Anolis sagrei: one gene and its partner. The protein of the gene in region 2 purifies or fractionates together with the protein of the main gene of each other region. This does not show direct contact. Links are inferred from orthologs where the notes say so. Each region holds a gene or a part of one and is shown on either strand. Other genes may lie near its edges.

The links.
Region 1: the proteins of DERL1 (region 2) and RNF5 purify together in Homo sapiens (affinity purification with western blotting; 4 studies listed by BioGRID and IntAct, with this or other methods). This does not show direct contact. The link is inferred for Anolis sagrei from reciprocal best matches to the Homo sapiens genes DERL1 and RNF5.

Annotation. Positions count from the first base shown.
Region 1 is NC_090022.1:16,616,980-16,624,993, forward strand, and holds the start of RNF5 (E3 ubiquitin-protein ligase RNF5), read right to left. Parts: upstream 3,005-8,014; 5' UTR 2,967-3,004; coding exon 2,818-2,966; intron 1-2,817. UniProt on the Homo sapiens protein: Membrane-bound E3 ubiquitin-protein ligase that mediates ubiquitination of target proteins. May function together with E2 ubiquitin-conjugating enzymes UBE2D1/UBCH5A and UBE2D2/UBC4.
Region 2 is NC_090024.1:20,605,919-20,613,931, forward strand, and holds the start of DERL1 (derlin-1), read left to right. Parts: upstream 1-5,006; coding exon 5,007-5,228; intron 5,229-8,013. UniProt on the Homo sapiens protein: Functional component of endoplasmic reticulum-associated degradation (ERAD) for misfolded lumenal proteins. Forms homotetramers which encircle a large channel traversing the endoplasmic reticulum (ER) membrane.

The DNA of each region.
Region 1 (8,014 bases), on a different chromosome or scaffold from region 2:
TTTCAGAACATCATTTTATTACTGACTCGTTGCACTGCCCCAAAGGCTTGGTCCCATAGCCAGGTCTTCACCATCCTTCTGAAGGACAGGAGGGAGGTGGCTGATCTAATATTGCCAGGAAGGGAGTTCCATAGCTAGGGGCAATCACTGAGAAGGCCCTGTTCTCTTGTCTCCGCCAAACACACCGGTGACGAGAGCACAGTCACAGGTGCATTTGACGAGGACGAAAGCAGGGCCTCCCCAGATCTTAGTCTTTGTAATGGTTCATAAAGGGAGATGCGTTCAGACAAGTAAATTGGAATTCAGAGTGCTCTTAGATTGCAGGTCAACTATAAATCCCAGTACCCAACTCCTATAAATAATGGTGATTTCTCCTCAAACCTCTCTAGTATGTTCAGTTGCTGACCAATTCCTCTGTTTGCTGTGTGCCATAGAAAAGAACTGTCGTTGTTTGTTGTTGTTCATTCGTTCAGTCATTTCCAACTCTTCATGGCCTCATGGACCAGCCCACGCCAGAGCTCCCTGTCGGCCATCACCACCCCCAGATTTTTCAAGGTCAATCCAGTCACTTCAAGGATCCCATCCATCCATCCTGTCCTTGGTCGGCCCCTCTTCCTTTTTCCTTCCATTTTCCCCAGCATCATTAGCTTCTCTAAGCTTTCCTTTCTTCTAATGATGAGGCCAAAGTACTTCATCTTTGCCTCTACTATCCTCCCCTCCAATGAGCAGCCGGGCTTTATTTCCTGAAGTATGGATGGGAAATAGATGGAGAAAACATGGAGGCAGTGACAGACTTTGTATTTCTAGGTGCAAAGATGACTGCAGACGCAGACTGCAGGCAGGAAATCAGGAGACGCTTACTTCTTGGGAGGAGAGCAATGACCAATCTTGATAAAATAGTGAAGAGTAGAGACATCACACTGGCAACAAAGATCCGCATAGTCAAAGCAATGGTATTCCCCATAGGCACCTACGGATGTGAGAGCTGGACAATAGGGAAGGCTGAGTGAAGGAAGAAGAATGTATCTCCTTCTATGTCCCACCTCAGAGTTTAAGATCTGCTGGGGATGCCCTGCTCTCGGCCCCACCTTTATCACAAGCGAGGCTGGTGGGGACGAGAGACAGGGCCTTCTCGGTGGTGGCCCCTCGCCTGTGGAATGAACTCCTGGGGGAGATTAGATCATCAACATCCCTCCTTTACTTTCAGAAGGAAGCTAAAAACCTGGATGTGGGACCAGGCCTTCGGGTAAGCTGGCAGATGGACAAAGATAACCAATGACGACCAGAGTAGGAAAGGATAATGATGATGCTAGATGGATCATGGACTATGAATTGGCGAACATGATGATTTTATTGCTGCTAGTATATTGTTTGATTGTTTTAATAAGTTATAATTGTTGACATTATATGGTAAATTTGTGTATTGTATATTGTACTGTATTTTATGAATTGTCAGGCATCGAATTGTGCCTTTTTTGTAAGCCGCCCTGAGTCCCCCCTAGGGGGTTGAGAAGGGCGGAGTAGAAGCACTCCAAATAAATTAATTGGAGGAAAGTGTTGAGAATGCCTTAGACCACGATAAGATCCAGTCAGTCCATACTTCAAGAAATAAAGCCCGACTGCTCACTGGAGGGAAGGATAGTAGAGGCCAAGATGAAGTGCTTTGGCCACATCATGAGAAGAAAGGAAAGCTTAGAGAAGACAATGATGCTGGGGGAAATGGAAGGAAAAAGGAAGAGGGGCCGACCAAGGGCAAGATGGATGGATGGTATCCTTGAAGTGACTGGATTGACCTTGAAGGAGCTGGGGGTGGTGACGGCCAACAGGGAGCTCTGGCGTGGGCTGGTCCATGAGGTCATGAAGAATTGGAAACGACTGAACGAATGAACAACAACAAACAACAACAATTCTTTTCTATGGCACACAGCAAACAGAGGAATTGATCAGCAACTGAACATACTAGAAAGGTTTGAGGAGAATTCACCATGATTTATAGGAGTTGGGTACTGGGATTTATAGTTGACCTGCAACCTAAGAGCACTCTGAACTCCAATTTACTTGTCTGAACGCATCTCCTTTTACAAACCATTACAAAGACTTAAGATCTTCTGGGGAGGCCCTGCTTTTGTTTCCGTCAAACGCACCTGTGGCTGTGCTCTCGTCACCGGTGCATTTGGATGGATGGGATCCTTGAAGTGACTGGATTGACCTTGAAGGTGCTGGGGGTGGTGACGGCCGACAGGGAGCTCTGGCGTGGACTGGTCCATGAGGTCACGAAGAGTCGGAAACGACTGAACGAATGAACAACAACAAATGGACTGGATAGATCTTCTCGCAGTCCAGAACATTCCTCCAACACCACAGTTCAAAAGCATCTGTCTTCCTTTGCTTATCCTTCCCTATGGTCCAGCTTTCAGAAAAGAATAGGAAAGGGTTAAGGGAGAGGCAGTGGGCGGGGTTAATCAAATTCCACACCAATGGAGAGAGTAAGAAACACTGGGATGTCTGTGGTGGAGGAAACACATGGAATCTTGGATGAAACTGTCCCCATATGAAAGCCTTCAATATGCATTTAATATGGTGACAACCTCAAAGCAATGATTCCCTGAGCCTTTAAGTGTTTTGGACTTCATTTCCCAGAAGCCCTCCCCATTGGCCACAGAAGCAAAGGCTTCTGGGAGTTGAAGTCCAAACCTCCCTGCTGTTGGGAATCACTGTGATAAAAGGATACTCCACCTGCACAAAATGAAGGGGATGCCAGTATTGTTATTTACAGTGATCCTGGCTCCCATCTCCCCCCAGCCACGCCCCTCTCACCAGTACAGGTGGCCACAGAGCCCAATCACTGCTTCCCTCGCAGGTTCCAGGCAGATATTGCATTCAAACGCGCTCCGGTCACGGTTTGACCCCTCCTGCTCCCCGTCCGGAACCCCCGGACCCGTCCCAGCCGCTGCAGCCGCCGCCATCTTCCGCCCTCACTTAAACTAAAGGAGGGGGGCGGGTGTTGTTGGAAACGCCCGCTCTTCGCCAATTGATCCTCTCGGCCGTCCGTCACGCCGTGCCGACATCTCATTGGGTGACGCCTCGGTCAATTGTGGCCTCTGGCGACGCGGATTGTGCACGTTCGAGGGAGTCCCGCCCACGGCGCTGTGTGGGGAGCATGAAACTTTTCTCATTGGCTGCGTGGGTTGACTCGCTGCTTTGTCATTGGCTGGGGAGTCTCAGCGGCCTGCCTTCGTCGTCCAGAGAGCAAAATATGATGTCATGTGACTAAAGGAAAAAGGGGGAGGGAATAGAAGAGGCGCGGCTTGATTGATTGGATCGTAAGCCTCTCATACGCCACGGAACAAGGGATGTCGGGGGTGGGGCTATCCTCTAAAGAGACGAAAGCAGTCGCCTGATTGGTCTACATGGACTCAGATTGGGGCGGGACTAAGCTTGATTGACGCGTCGGTGGCCCAATAGTGACACAAAGGGGTTGTTTTCGGTCGAATTGGTCTACATGGACTCAAATGGGAGCGGGACTAAGCTTGATTGACGCGTCGGTGGCCCAATAGTAACACAAAGGGGTTGTTTTCAGTCGAATTGGGAGCAATACTGAGCTGGACGCCTTTCCATGATAGCAAATAATCGAAGGAGGGGAAAGGGCATTTCCTGCCTTGGCCTGGATTTCTGATCAATTCCAGCTCCTTTAAAGCATACAGGCCCATTGGGCCTCTATGAGTAAAGGCTCTCCAGTGAGACTGTAGGGCATGCATGGGCCAACTTGGGTCCTCCAAGTGTTTAGGTGTTTTGGTGGGCAGGAAAAGAGATTTAGAGATGGGCTCAAAGCCAACCTTAAAAACTCTGAACTGGGAAGCCCTGGCCCTTGCACACTCCAGCTGGAAGTCGGCTGTGACCAGCAGTGCTGTAGAATTTTGAACAGGCACTAATGGAGGGCAAATGAGAGAAACATGCCAAGAGGAAGGTGCGTCAAGCTGATATCGAGCTAGAATTTGGAGGCTTCTGCCCAGGAGAGAGGAGCCCTTAGACCAGTGTTTCTCAACCTGGGGGTCGGGACCCCTGGAGGGGTTGCGAGGGGGTGTCAGAGGGGTCACCAAAGACCATCTGAAAACACAGTATTTTCTGTAGGTCATGGGAGATTCTGTGTGGGAAGTTTGGCCCAATTCAATCATTGGTAGGGTTCAGAATGCTCTTTGATTGTAGGTGAACTACAAATCCCAGCAACTACAACTTCCAAATGTCAAACTCTATATTCCCCAATTCCATCAGTGTTTGCATTTGGGCATATTGAGAAGTCGTGCCAAGTCTGGTCCAGATCCATCATTGTTTGAGTCCACAGTGTTCTCTGGATGTAGGTGAACTACAACTCCCAAACTCAAGGTCAATGCCCAACAAACCCTTCCAGTATTTTCTGCTGGTCATGGGAGTTCTGTGTGCCAAGTTTGACTCAATTCCATTGCTGGTAGAGTTCAGAATGCTCTTTGATTGTAGATGAACTATAAATCCCAGCAGCTACAACTCCCACAAGACAAAATCAATACCCTCTTCCAATCCCACCAGTATTCAAATTAGGGTGCATTGGGTATTTGTGCCAAATTTGGTCTAGTGAATGAAAATACATCCCGCACATCAGATATTTATATTACTATTCATAACAGCACCAAAATGGCAGTTATGAAGTAGCAACTAAACTAATTTTAGTTTGGGGGTCACCATAACATGAGGAAGTGTATTAAGGGGTCATGGCATTAGGAAGGTTGAGAACCACTGCCTTAGACTCACCAAAGAGAGTCCGAAACCCTTGACAAGTGAAAGAGGAGAAAGGCCCAGAATTTTCCCTGATTTTTCCCAAATAAATCTCACCAAGGTTGAAGAAAAGCCATCAAGGTTTATTTAGCGATCCAGCTGAAAAGGATGCAGAGCTGCGATCGTTCGCCAGCGGAGCATAAAGAAATACATTTGATACAGCCATATTTATAGTAAATTCAAAGTTGTAGAGTTCAAACTCCCCGCCCCGGCCTCCCTGCTGCCCTCCACTGTGATTGGACAACGGGCAAACAGCTGGGAGGTGGCCCTCCCGCCCCCGCGCCCCTGGACCAATCAGGAAGCTCCAACGGTCCGTAGGGTCCAATGGGGAGGCTCCTGCCATCTAGCGGCGATAGCAAATCAGGAAAGAGGGAGGCGGGATGATAGAACACAAAGGAATCTTGTGAATGAATTCTAAAAAAAATGCCATGTGGCCTGCGAGACAAAGAGGGAGTCTTAAGCAAGCCTGATCTTTTGTGTTTTGATTGGAATGAATCAACATGTGTAAAGGCAAGTCCGGATTTTACTAGCCAGCAAATATGAAGACAATGAGGGTGAAACTGGGGTGAATGTTCCTTAGTGGGAAGTTAGTTAAATCAACCAGTGCGAAGGTGGGGGCTTTTCGAGGGTCCCCTGACCTCCAGGTAGAAAAATGATTAGGGGTCTGCCAGGGGGCAAACAGCATTGTTGGGCAATCCTCCGAGAACAAAGCTGCCTGCCAGTTTATTTTTCATGCAAAGGAAATTGTGGATTGGGGTCTTTGGAATGTCTGGAGATCTGCAGTTTCCTGAGGGGATTTCTTCTTAAGGAAAGGGAAGGAAAAAAGGTCAAGGGAAGGCCACTAGTACAAAGGAAAATATGAAAATATATACATTTGATGTAGCAGAAACCATGTGCCTATAATTCATAACAGGAAAAGTCCATATAAGTCCAGTATGTTTTTGAAAGGGAAACAAAAGGGTTTATGGGGAATGATTAAAAGCATGAAATTCACGAGAAAAGGTCCAAAAGTTTTCACTGAGCCAGTCAAGGAAGTCCTGCAGCGTTGAGGTTGAGACTTGTCTTTGGCCCTTTGCAAGACTATAAGATATTATCTCTTATTGGGGGGGGGGGGGGGGGCATGCTCGGCTTCAAAGCCAACCTCGACGAGGACCGCCTTCCACCTGGAAACCAATGCCCTCACTATGGGAGAAGATGCAGATCAAGAATAGGACTCCACAGTCACCTACAGACCCACCGCCAGTACACCGATCTTGGAAGACAATCCTACTCAGACAATGAGGGATCGCCTAAGTTTGGACTTCAATTCTCACAATTCCTAACAGCCTACCTGCTGTAGAATCAGACAATGGCAAAGCTACTTTTTTGGACTACACTTCCCATATGCTTATCTTGCTGGGGGATTCTGTGAGATGCAACCCCAAAAGTATATTTTTCAATGTGTTTCAATGTGCCATTTATAGATGTCCTAGTCACCGGCAAAGCAAATCAACAATTGGATCACACAGCTTACAGAAAATCTACACACACGGATAGATACTTACATAAAAACTCCCAACTATCACCCAAGTCAAAAATGTAGCACCATTAAAGCCCTGGCAGACCATGCAAAAAGAATCTGCAAACGCCACCTCCTCCAAGAAGAACTGAACCACTTAAACTGGGCTTTACATGCCAATGGAGGCTCCACCACAGGCATCCGAAGAGCTGCAAGACCAAGAACCAGCCACGCGAGTAAAGACAAAGATCCACCCAGAGGAAAAGTTCTTGCCATACATCAAGGGAATCATTGACCGCACAGGGAAGCTGATGAGGAAACACAATCTACAAGCTATCTACAGATCCACTAACAAAATCCAACAAATGCTGCTTTCAGCAAAGGACAAGAGGGGCCCTCTCACCTCTGCAGGAGTCTACCGTATACCATGCAGCTGTGGACAAGTCTACACAGGGACCACCAAATGCAGCAGCATTGCCCAGACACAAATCAAGGAACATGAAAGGCACTGCAGACTACTTCAAACAGAGAAGTCAGCCATAGCAGAGCACCTGACAAACCAACCTGGACACAGCATATTATTTGAGAACACAGAAATGTTGGACCACTCTAAAAACACAAAGAAGCCATTGAAATCCACAAGCATGTGAACTTCCTTTCAACAGAAAGGAAAAATTAATATGAAAATGAACAAAATCTGGCTACCAGTATTAAAAAATTCTAAAATCATAACAGTAAATAAAGACCAGGGAGCTCCAGACAAGAAACAATCGGGGACAGCTAATCACCTCAACAAAGGATACTTCCGGGCAATAAAAGCCACACCTTGAAAACTGTTAGGCCATTAAATGGTAATCAAGGTGACGCACACCTACCTGCAACAGACAAAAGTTCTTTTTCCCACCCTGGACTTTCCACAGACATATAAACTCTATTTTCCTAGATTGTTGTAGGTTTTTCGGACTATGTGGCCATGGCCTAGAGGCATTCTCTCCTGACGTTTCGCCTCCATCTATGGCAAGCATCCTCAGAGATAGTGAGGCCTGTTGGAACTAGGAAAAGGGCTTATATATCTGTGGAATGACCAGGGTGAGACAAAGGACTCTTTGTCTGCTGCAGCTAGCTGTGAATGTTTCAACTGACCACCTTGATTAGCATATAATGGCCTGACAGTGCCTAGAGCAAACTTTTGTTGAGAGGTGATTAGATGTCCTTGTCTGTTTCCTCTCTGTTGTGCTGTTGTAATTTTAGAGTTTTTTAATATTGGTAGCCAGATTTTGTTCATTTTCATGGTTTCCTCATTTCTGTTGAAATTGTCCACATGCTTGTGTATTTCAATGGCTTCTCTGTGTAGTCTGACATGGTGGTTGTGAGCCCCTGAGAAGTCCTTCTGCCATCTTTAAGTGCCATTCCACTAGCCGATAAGTGGAAAGGACCCAGCCTACCAACCAAGCCCACTCCAACAGCCCCTGGGAGACAACTCCGAAATCTTTAACTACTATTCTACCAGCTAGTGAGTGGGAGGAAGCCAGCCCACCAACCAGGAACTCTCCAACAGTCCCTGGGAGCCCCTCTTTAACTGCCATTCCATCAGCAAGGGACCCTACCAAGCCCACTCCAATAGCCCCTGGGAGGCCATTCCGCCATCTTTAACTGCCATTCCACTGGCCGGTGAGTGGGAGGGACCCAGTCCGCCAACCAGGAACT
Region 2 (8,013 bases):
CCAGAAGGTCATGGGGGACCTTGTCGAAGGCCTTACTGAAATCCAGGTACGCTACATCCACGGCATTCCCCGCATCTACCCAGCTTGTAGCTCTATCGAAGAAAGAGATCAGATTAGTCTGGCATGATTTGTTTTTGATAAATCCATGTTGACTATTAGCGATGACTGCATTTGTTTCTAAGTGTTTGCAGACCGCTTCCTTAACAATCTTTTCCAGAATTTTGCCCGGTATCGACGTGAGGCTGACCGGTCGGTAGTTGTTTGGGTCGTCTTTTTTTCCCTTCTTGAAGATTGGGACCACATTGGCCCTCCTCCAATCTGCTGGAACTTCTCCCGTTCTCCAAGAACTCTCAAAGATGGTTGCCAATGGTTCCGAAATGACTTCCGCTAGTTCCTTCAATACTCTTGGGTGTAGTTGATCTGGCCCTGGGGACTTGAACTCATTAAGAGCGGCCAGGTATTCCTGGACGACTTCTTTCCCAATTTGGGGTTGGATGTCCTCCAATCCCTCATCCACTCCATCTTGCTGTGGTTGAAGACTCTCTTTTTGTGAGAAGACCGAGGCAAAGAAGGCATTAAGTAGTTCTGCCTTTTCCCTATCCCCTGTCAGCATTGCCCCATCTTCTCCTCGAAGAGGTCCTATCGCCTCCTTGTTTTTCCTTTTTCTACTGACATAAGAATAGAAGCCCTTTTTATTGTTTTTAATGTCCCTGGCAAGTCTGAGCTCGTTTTTTGCTTTAGCCTTGCGGACCTTTTCCCTACAGGTGTTGGCTATTTGTTTGAATTCTTCTTTGGTGATTTCTCCCTTTTTCCACTTCTTGTGCATGTCCCTTTTGTGTCTTAGTACAGTTAGAAGTTCTTTGGACATCCATTCTGGCTTCTTTGCACTTGTCCTATTTTTTCTCTTTGTTGGCACGGTTTGCAATTGCGCCTTGAGTATTTCACTCTTGAGAAATTCCCATCCATCCGTAGCTCCCTTGTCTTTTAGTATCTGTGTCCACGGAATGCTGCTCAGCGTTTCCTTCATTTTTTGGAAATCAGCTCTCCTAAAGTCCAAAATGCGGGTTTGACTTGTCTTAGTTTTGGCCTTCCTTTGTACCTCAAATTGCAGGAGCACATGGTCACTTGCCCCTAAGGATCCTACCACTTCGACCGCATCGATCAGGTCCTCCGCATTTGTTAGGATGAGATCAAGAGTAGCCAATCCCCTTGTTGCCTCTTCTACCTTCTGGACCATGAAATTGTCTGCAAGGCAAGCGAGGAATTTGTTGGACCTTGTACTCTTGGCCGAGTTTGTTTTCCAGCAAATATCGGGATAGTTGAAATCGCCCATGACTACTACATCTCTTTTCTGTGCCTGTTTGGTCAACTGTTGGCAGAAGACTTCATCAAGATCTTCCTCCTGGCTTGGGGGTCTGTAGTAGACGCCTACAACGACATCTTTTTGAGTCCCAGTTCCCTTGATTCTTATCCAGATGATTTCAAGCTGGTTTCCTAGATTGCTGTCTTGAATTTCTTCTGCAGCATAAGAGTTTTTGACATATAAGGCTACTCCGCCTCCTCTCCCCTTTGTTCGGTTTCTGTGAAAGAGGTTATACCCCTCGATATCTACATTCCAGTGATAGGAGTCATCCCACCAGGTTTCAGTGATGGCTATGATATCATATTTGTGGTGTTGTGTTAGAAGTTGGAGTTCGTCTTGTTTATTTCCCATGCTCTGTGCATTAGTGTAAAGACATGTGAGCCCCTGGGATCTTCCCTTGAGCTGTTTAATTGGGATTATTGTGCTTTTGGTACTTGGTCCTTGTTGTGTTTGTGCAGCCCTCCGTTTAGCCTTCTGGCGATTCCCAGACATTATGGGTAAAGTAATACAATAATATAACATACAGTAATGGCTTGAGCCATTACTGCTCAAGCAGGGAGCTTTGAGATGGTAGAACAGAAGCTTTCTGAAGCTCTGGGTGCTCTTACTGCCTATTACAGGGAAAACCAGCTGATCTCCAACCCATCCAAAACACAGACATGTGCTTTTCATCTCAAGAACAGACAAGCATCCTGAGCTCTGAGATCACCTGGGAAGAAATCCCACTGGAGTATTGCAACACACCCAAATACCTGCGAGTCACTCTGAACCGTGCTCTGACCTACAAGAAGCACTGCCTGAACATGAAGCAAAAAGTGGGTGCTAGAAACAATATCATAAGGAAGCTGACTGGCACAACCTAGGGATCACAACCAGATACAGTGAAGACATCTGCCCTTGCGCTGTACTACTCTGCTGCTGAGTACGCATGCCCAGTGTGGAACACATCTCACTACACTAAAACAGTGGATGTGGCTCTTAATGAGACATGCCGCATTATCACGGGGTGTTTGCGCCCTACACCACTGGAGAAATTACACTGCTTAGCCGGTATTGCACCTCCTGATATCCGCCGGGAAGTAGCAGCCAATAGTGAAAGGACCAAGGCAGAGACATCTCCAGCTCATCCCTTGTTTGGATATCAGGCAGCACGTCAACGACTTAAATCAAGAAATAGTTTTCTAAGATCTACAGAGACACTCACTGGAACACCTCAGCAAGCAAGAGTCCAAAAGTGGCAGGCTCAAACCCAGAACCTCAACCAATGGCTGATACCAAATGGGAGACTTCCCCCTGGGCACACAGAGGACTGGGCGACTTGGAAGGCGCTGAACAGACTGCACTCTGGCACCACGAGATGCAGAACCAACCTTCAGAAATGGAGCTACAAAGTGGAATCCTTGACATGCGAATGTGGAGAGGAGCAAACCACTGACCACCTGGTGCAATGCAACCTGAGCCCTGCCACATGCACGATGGAGGACCTTCTTGCAGCAACACCGGAAGCACTCCAAGTGGCCAGATACTGGTCAAAGGACATTTAACCAACTACCAAACTCACAAATTTTGTATTTTGTCTGTTTGTTTGCTTTGTTCTGTTAGAAATGTCATATAATTGACTGGTTGCCCTGACACAACAAATAAATAAATACATACATACAATATAATCTAAAATATTTAATATCTAAATATAGAAGGAAATATAATCTAAAAATAATATAACGTATAAAACTTGAAATAAAATATATAATATCTAACAATCTAACATGAAATGAAATATAATCTAAACTAATAAAATAATATAGCATATACAATATAATCTAAAATAAAAGCATATATCTAAAATCTAATATGAAATAATATCTAAAGGAAAAAATATGTTGTAATCATATATATATATATATATATATATATATATATAATGTAACATTTTATATACACATGTAAAATAATCTAACATGAAATATAAAATATTCTAAAAGAAAATAATGTAATATACAATACAATCTAAAATGAATATGTATATCAAAAATAATCTAACATGAAATATAATCTATAATAATATAACATACAATATAATCTAAAATAAAAGTATATCTCTAAAATAATATAATATGAAATAATATCTAAAGGGAAAAAATAAAATATGATGTAATCTAATATATATATAATGTAACATTTTATATATACATAAAATATATAATAATCTAACATGAAATATAAAATATTCTAAAAGAAAATAATGTAATATACAATATAATCTAAAATGAATATGTATATCAAAAATAATCTAACATGAAATATAATCTATAATAATCATATAGCATACAATATAATCTAAAATAAAATATATGTAAAGTATTTTAAATTAATCTGACATGAATAATATAATCTAAATGCAGAAGAAGACAAACTCTTTAAATATATTACGACTGCCGCCAGAATTGTTTTCGCGAGAGAATGGAAACAAGAATTAAATCCGCCCATTGATGGGTGGTTAGATAAAATGAGAGAGATAAAAGATATGGATGAATTTACTTTTTTGCTGAAAAAGAATACCGGGAATACTTTAAAAAGAACAAATTGGGACCTCTTCAATATCTGGAGAGCATCAAAAAATTGAGACTACAATAGATATTTTTATTAGCAGATTTTGATAAAAGAAAGACTTTAACCAAGAAGATGCAAAGGAAGTCATTTTAAAATTTTTTGTAGTATTTTTAATTTTTGGTAGTACTTTTTGTTTGTTTTTGTATTTTTTTTCATTATTATTATTATTTTTCTACTTTTTTTCTTTTTTCCTTTTTCTTTTTTTCTTATATCTCTCCTATTTCTCTTTTTTCCATCTCTTTCCTATATTTTTATTGTTCTCACTTTTTCGTTGTGTTATTATTAAAACTTAATAAAATCTTTTCAAAAAATAAAATAAAATAATATAATCTGAAAGAAAAAGAAAATAATACAACACATACAATATAAAATAAATATATATATTCTAAAATAATCTAACATGAAATGCAATTAAAATAAAATAAAGTAATATAACATACAATCTAAAATACATAGAAAAAATGTAACATGAGATATAATCTAAAAGAATATAATATAATATATATGCAATATAATCTAAAATATATAATATCTAAAATTATCTTTAAAAGTCTAACATGAAATATAATATAAAATAAAAATAATATAACACATTATATATATATATATATATATATATATATATATAAAATGTAAAATAAGAATATAAAGTGAAACATAAAAGTTGCAACAAGGAGACTAAATGCTTCCTAAATTTCCTTCTTCTGTAATTTATTGCCTTCCAGGAGTGAAAAAGTAAGCAAACTTTTAATGTATAAGTAGGGTTGCAACCTTTATTGGGATATGTTTTATTTATTTTTAATGACTTTGTTTTGTCATTATTTGTTTGCTGTTGGTTGGCAGCAAAAAAAAAAAAGTTACTTGGTCCCTTTAAGAAATGGACCTGGGCGAAACGTCACTTCCGCCTCCTTTCACTTTTGTTTGTGTTGCCCAGCAATGGCAGGGCGGAAACAGGAAGTGGCCCTCACCCGGCCGAATCCAGTGCAGCCACCTCGGAGGAAGGCGGATCCCACGGCTTGTCCACACATCGCGCATGCGCAATAGAAAGAGACAGCCCCGGTGTCAGCGGCAGGAGGAAAGGCCTCGCCTCAGCGACGGCGAGATGTCGGATCTCGGCGAGTGGTTCCGGAGCATCCCGCTGATCACCCGCTACTGGTTTGCCGGCTCCATCGCGGTCCCCCTGTTCGGCAAGCTAGGCCTCATCAGCCCCGTCTATCTCTTCCTGTGGCCCGACGCTTTCCTCAACCGCTTCCAGGTAGGGTCGCGCCGGACTACGTGTCCCGGCATGCATTGCGCGCCCTGGATCATAGAAACACATAGAGGCTTGGCGCGTTGCGTCTTGGGAAGTGTAGTCTGTGACACCTGCACGTTGGGAATCGTAGTTGGAGGGGTGTTTCTTTCTTTTCTGAGTGTCAGAATGGTGTCAGGAGAGGAACATGATTAGACTTTGCCACAGAATCACAGAGTTGGGAGAGACCCCAAAGGCCATCCAGTTCAACCCTATTTTGCCACTCAGGAAGGCACAATCAGAGCACCCCCAACAGATGACCAGCCAGTCTCTGATTGAAACCCCTTCAGAGGAGGAGACTTCACCACATTCCATGGCAACATATTCCACTGCCAAGCTATCTCCCTAAATTCTTCCTAATGTTTACCTGGAATTTATTTTCTTGTAATTTGTGATGTGATGTGGCGGCAAAAAAAGCCAATGGGATTTTGGCCTGCATCAATAGGAGCATAGTGTTTAGATCTAAGGAAGTAATGCTACCCCTCTATTCTGTTTTGGTTAGACCACATCTGGAATATTGTGTCCAATTCTGGGCACCACAATTCAAAAGAGATATTGACAAGCTGGAATGTGTCCAGAGAGAGCGACTAAAATGATAAAAGGTCTGGAGAACAAGCCCTATGAGGAGCGGCTTAAGGAGCTGGGCATGTTTAGCCTGAAGAAGAGAAGGCTGAGAGGGGATATGATAGCCATGTATAAATATGTGAGAGGAAGCCACAGGGAGGAGGGAGCAAGCTTGTTTTCTGCTTCCTTGGAGACTAGGACGCGGAACAATGGCTTCAAACTACAAGAGAGGAGATTCCATCTGAACATGAGGAAGAACTTCCTGACTGTGAGAGCCGTTCAGCAGTGGAACTCTCTGCCCCGGAGTGTGGTGGAGGCTCCTTCTTTGGAAGCTTTTAAGCAGAGGCTGGATGGCCATCTGTCAGGGGTGATTTGAATGCAATATTCCTGCTTCTTGGCAGGGGGTTGGACTGGATGGCCCATGAGGTCTCTTCCAACTCTTTGATTCTATGATTCTATGATTCTAATTTGAATTAATAATAATAATAATAATAATAATAATAATAATAAGCTTTATTTATACCCCACCACCATCTCCCCAAGAGGACTCGGGGTGGCTTCCATGAGGCCAGGCCCAACAGCACAGCAATGCAAATAAACAACATACAGCGACAGTAAAATATAAAATAAAATCAAGAAACAAAATAAATAAACATAAACAATGTAAAATCACAATAATTTAAACACAGAGAATAAACCACAGTGGGCAGGGCCGATAGCAAGGATTAAAAGTTTAAAAACACTGGGTGAGAAGGCCATGTATTGTATTTGGACAGGGGAATGGAGAGACGAAAGTAGGTTTTAATTGCACTAGTAGGTAGAAAAGGGATCTGGGTGTTTTAGCAGCCCACAAGCTGAACATGTTTTGAAGTCCAAAACACCCGGAGGGCCCAAATTTGCCAATGCTTGTTTTAAAATAACAGAAAACAAACTTGCCCCCTCCTCAGTGTGACATCTTTTCAAATATTTAAACATTATTACTCTTATTATATTTATACCTCACTTTATCTCTCCCAAAGAGACTCAAAGAGACATAAAAGCATTAGTACACAATTTAAAACATACCAACATTAAAACAGAATAAGACAAACAGTATTAAAAATCACAGTTAAAATCCATCAAACATATTCAAAGTTAAAAACGATAGCATTCCCTGATTAGATCTTAACCACCTTCATCTTTAAAAGCCTGTATGAACAGAGGGACAGCAGGGAGGTGGCCATTCTGGCTTCCCTGAGAAGAAGAAGAAGAAGAAGAAGGGAGTTCCAAAGTTGAGGGGCAGTCACCGAGAAGTAAGGCTCACTCTCATTCCCACCAACTGAGCTTGAGATGGAGGTGGGACCGAGAAGGGCCTCTCCTGAAGATCTGAGGGCTCGAGCAAGTTTATACAAGGCATGTGGTCAGCCAAATAGCCTGGACCTGAACCGTCTAGGACTTTAAAGATAATAACCAGTACTTTGAATTGTGCCCGGAAACAGTCTAGCAGTCAGTGGAGCTGCTATAGCAGGGGAGTTGGCCCGCCCCTGTAGCCAGTCCCAGTTAGCAACCTGGCTGCAGCTCTTTGTACTAGCTGAAGTTTCTGAGCACTCTTCAGAGGCAGCCCCACATAGATTGCATTACAGTAATCCAGATGGGATGTAACTAAGGCATGTACTGCCGTGGCGAGATCTGGCTTCCCAAGGGACAGGCACAATTGCCGCACAAGTTTTAATTGTGCAAAGGCCCTCCTGGCCACCGCTGACACCTGGGCCTCCAGGTTCAATACCAAGTCCAGGAGGACCCCCAGACTGTGAACCCGTGTCTTCATGGGGACTGTGATCCCATCCATCACAGGCTGGATCCCCATTCCCTGGTCTGCCTTACGATTGATCAGGAGTATCTATGTCTTGTCTAGTTTAAGCTTCAATTTGTTTGCCCTCATCCAGACCGTTACTGATAACAGGCACTGGTTTAGGGTCAGGACAGCTCCCTTGGCTGTAGGTGGAAAGGAGTAGTAGAGTTGGGTGTCATTCGCATATAGGTGGCACTGCACACCAAAACTCCGGATGACATCTCCCAGCGGTTTCATTTATATGTTGAACAGAATGAGGGACAGAATGGAACCCTGAGGAACCCCACAGGTCAATGGCCAGGGGATCGAACAGGAGACCCCCAGCATCACCTTCTGGATATGGCCCTCCAGGAAGGA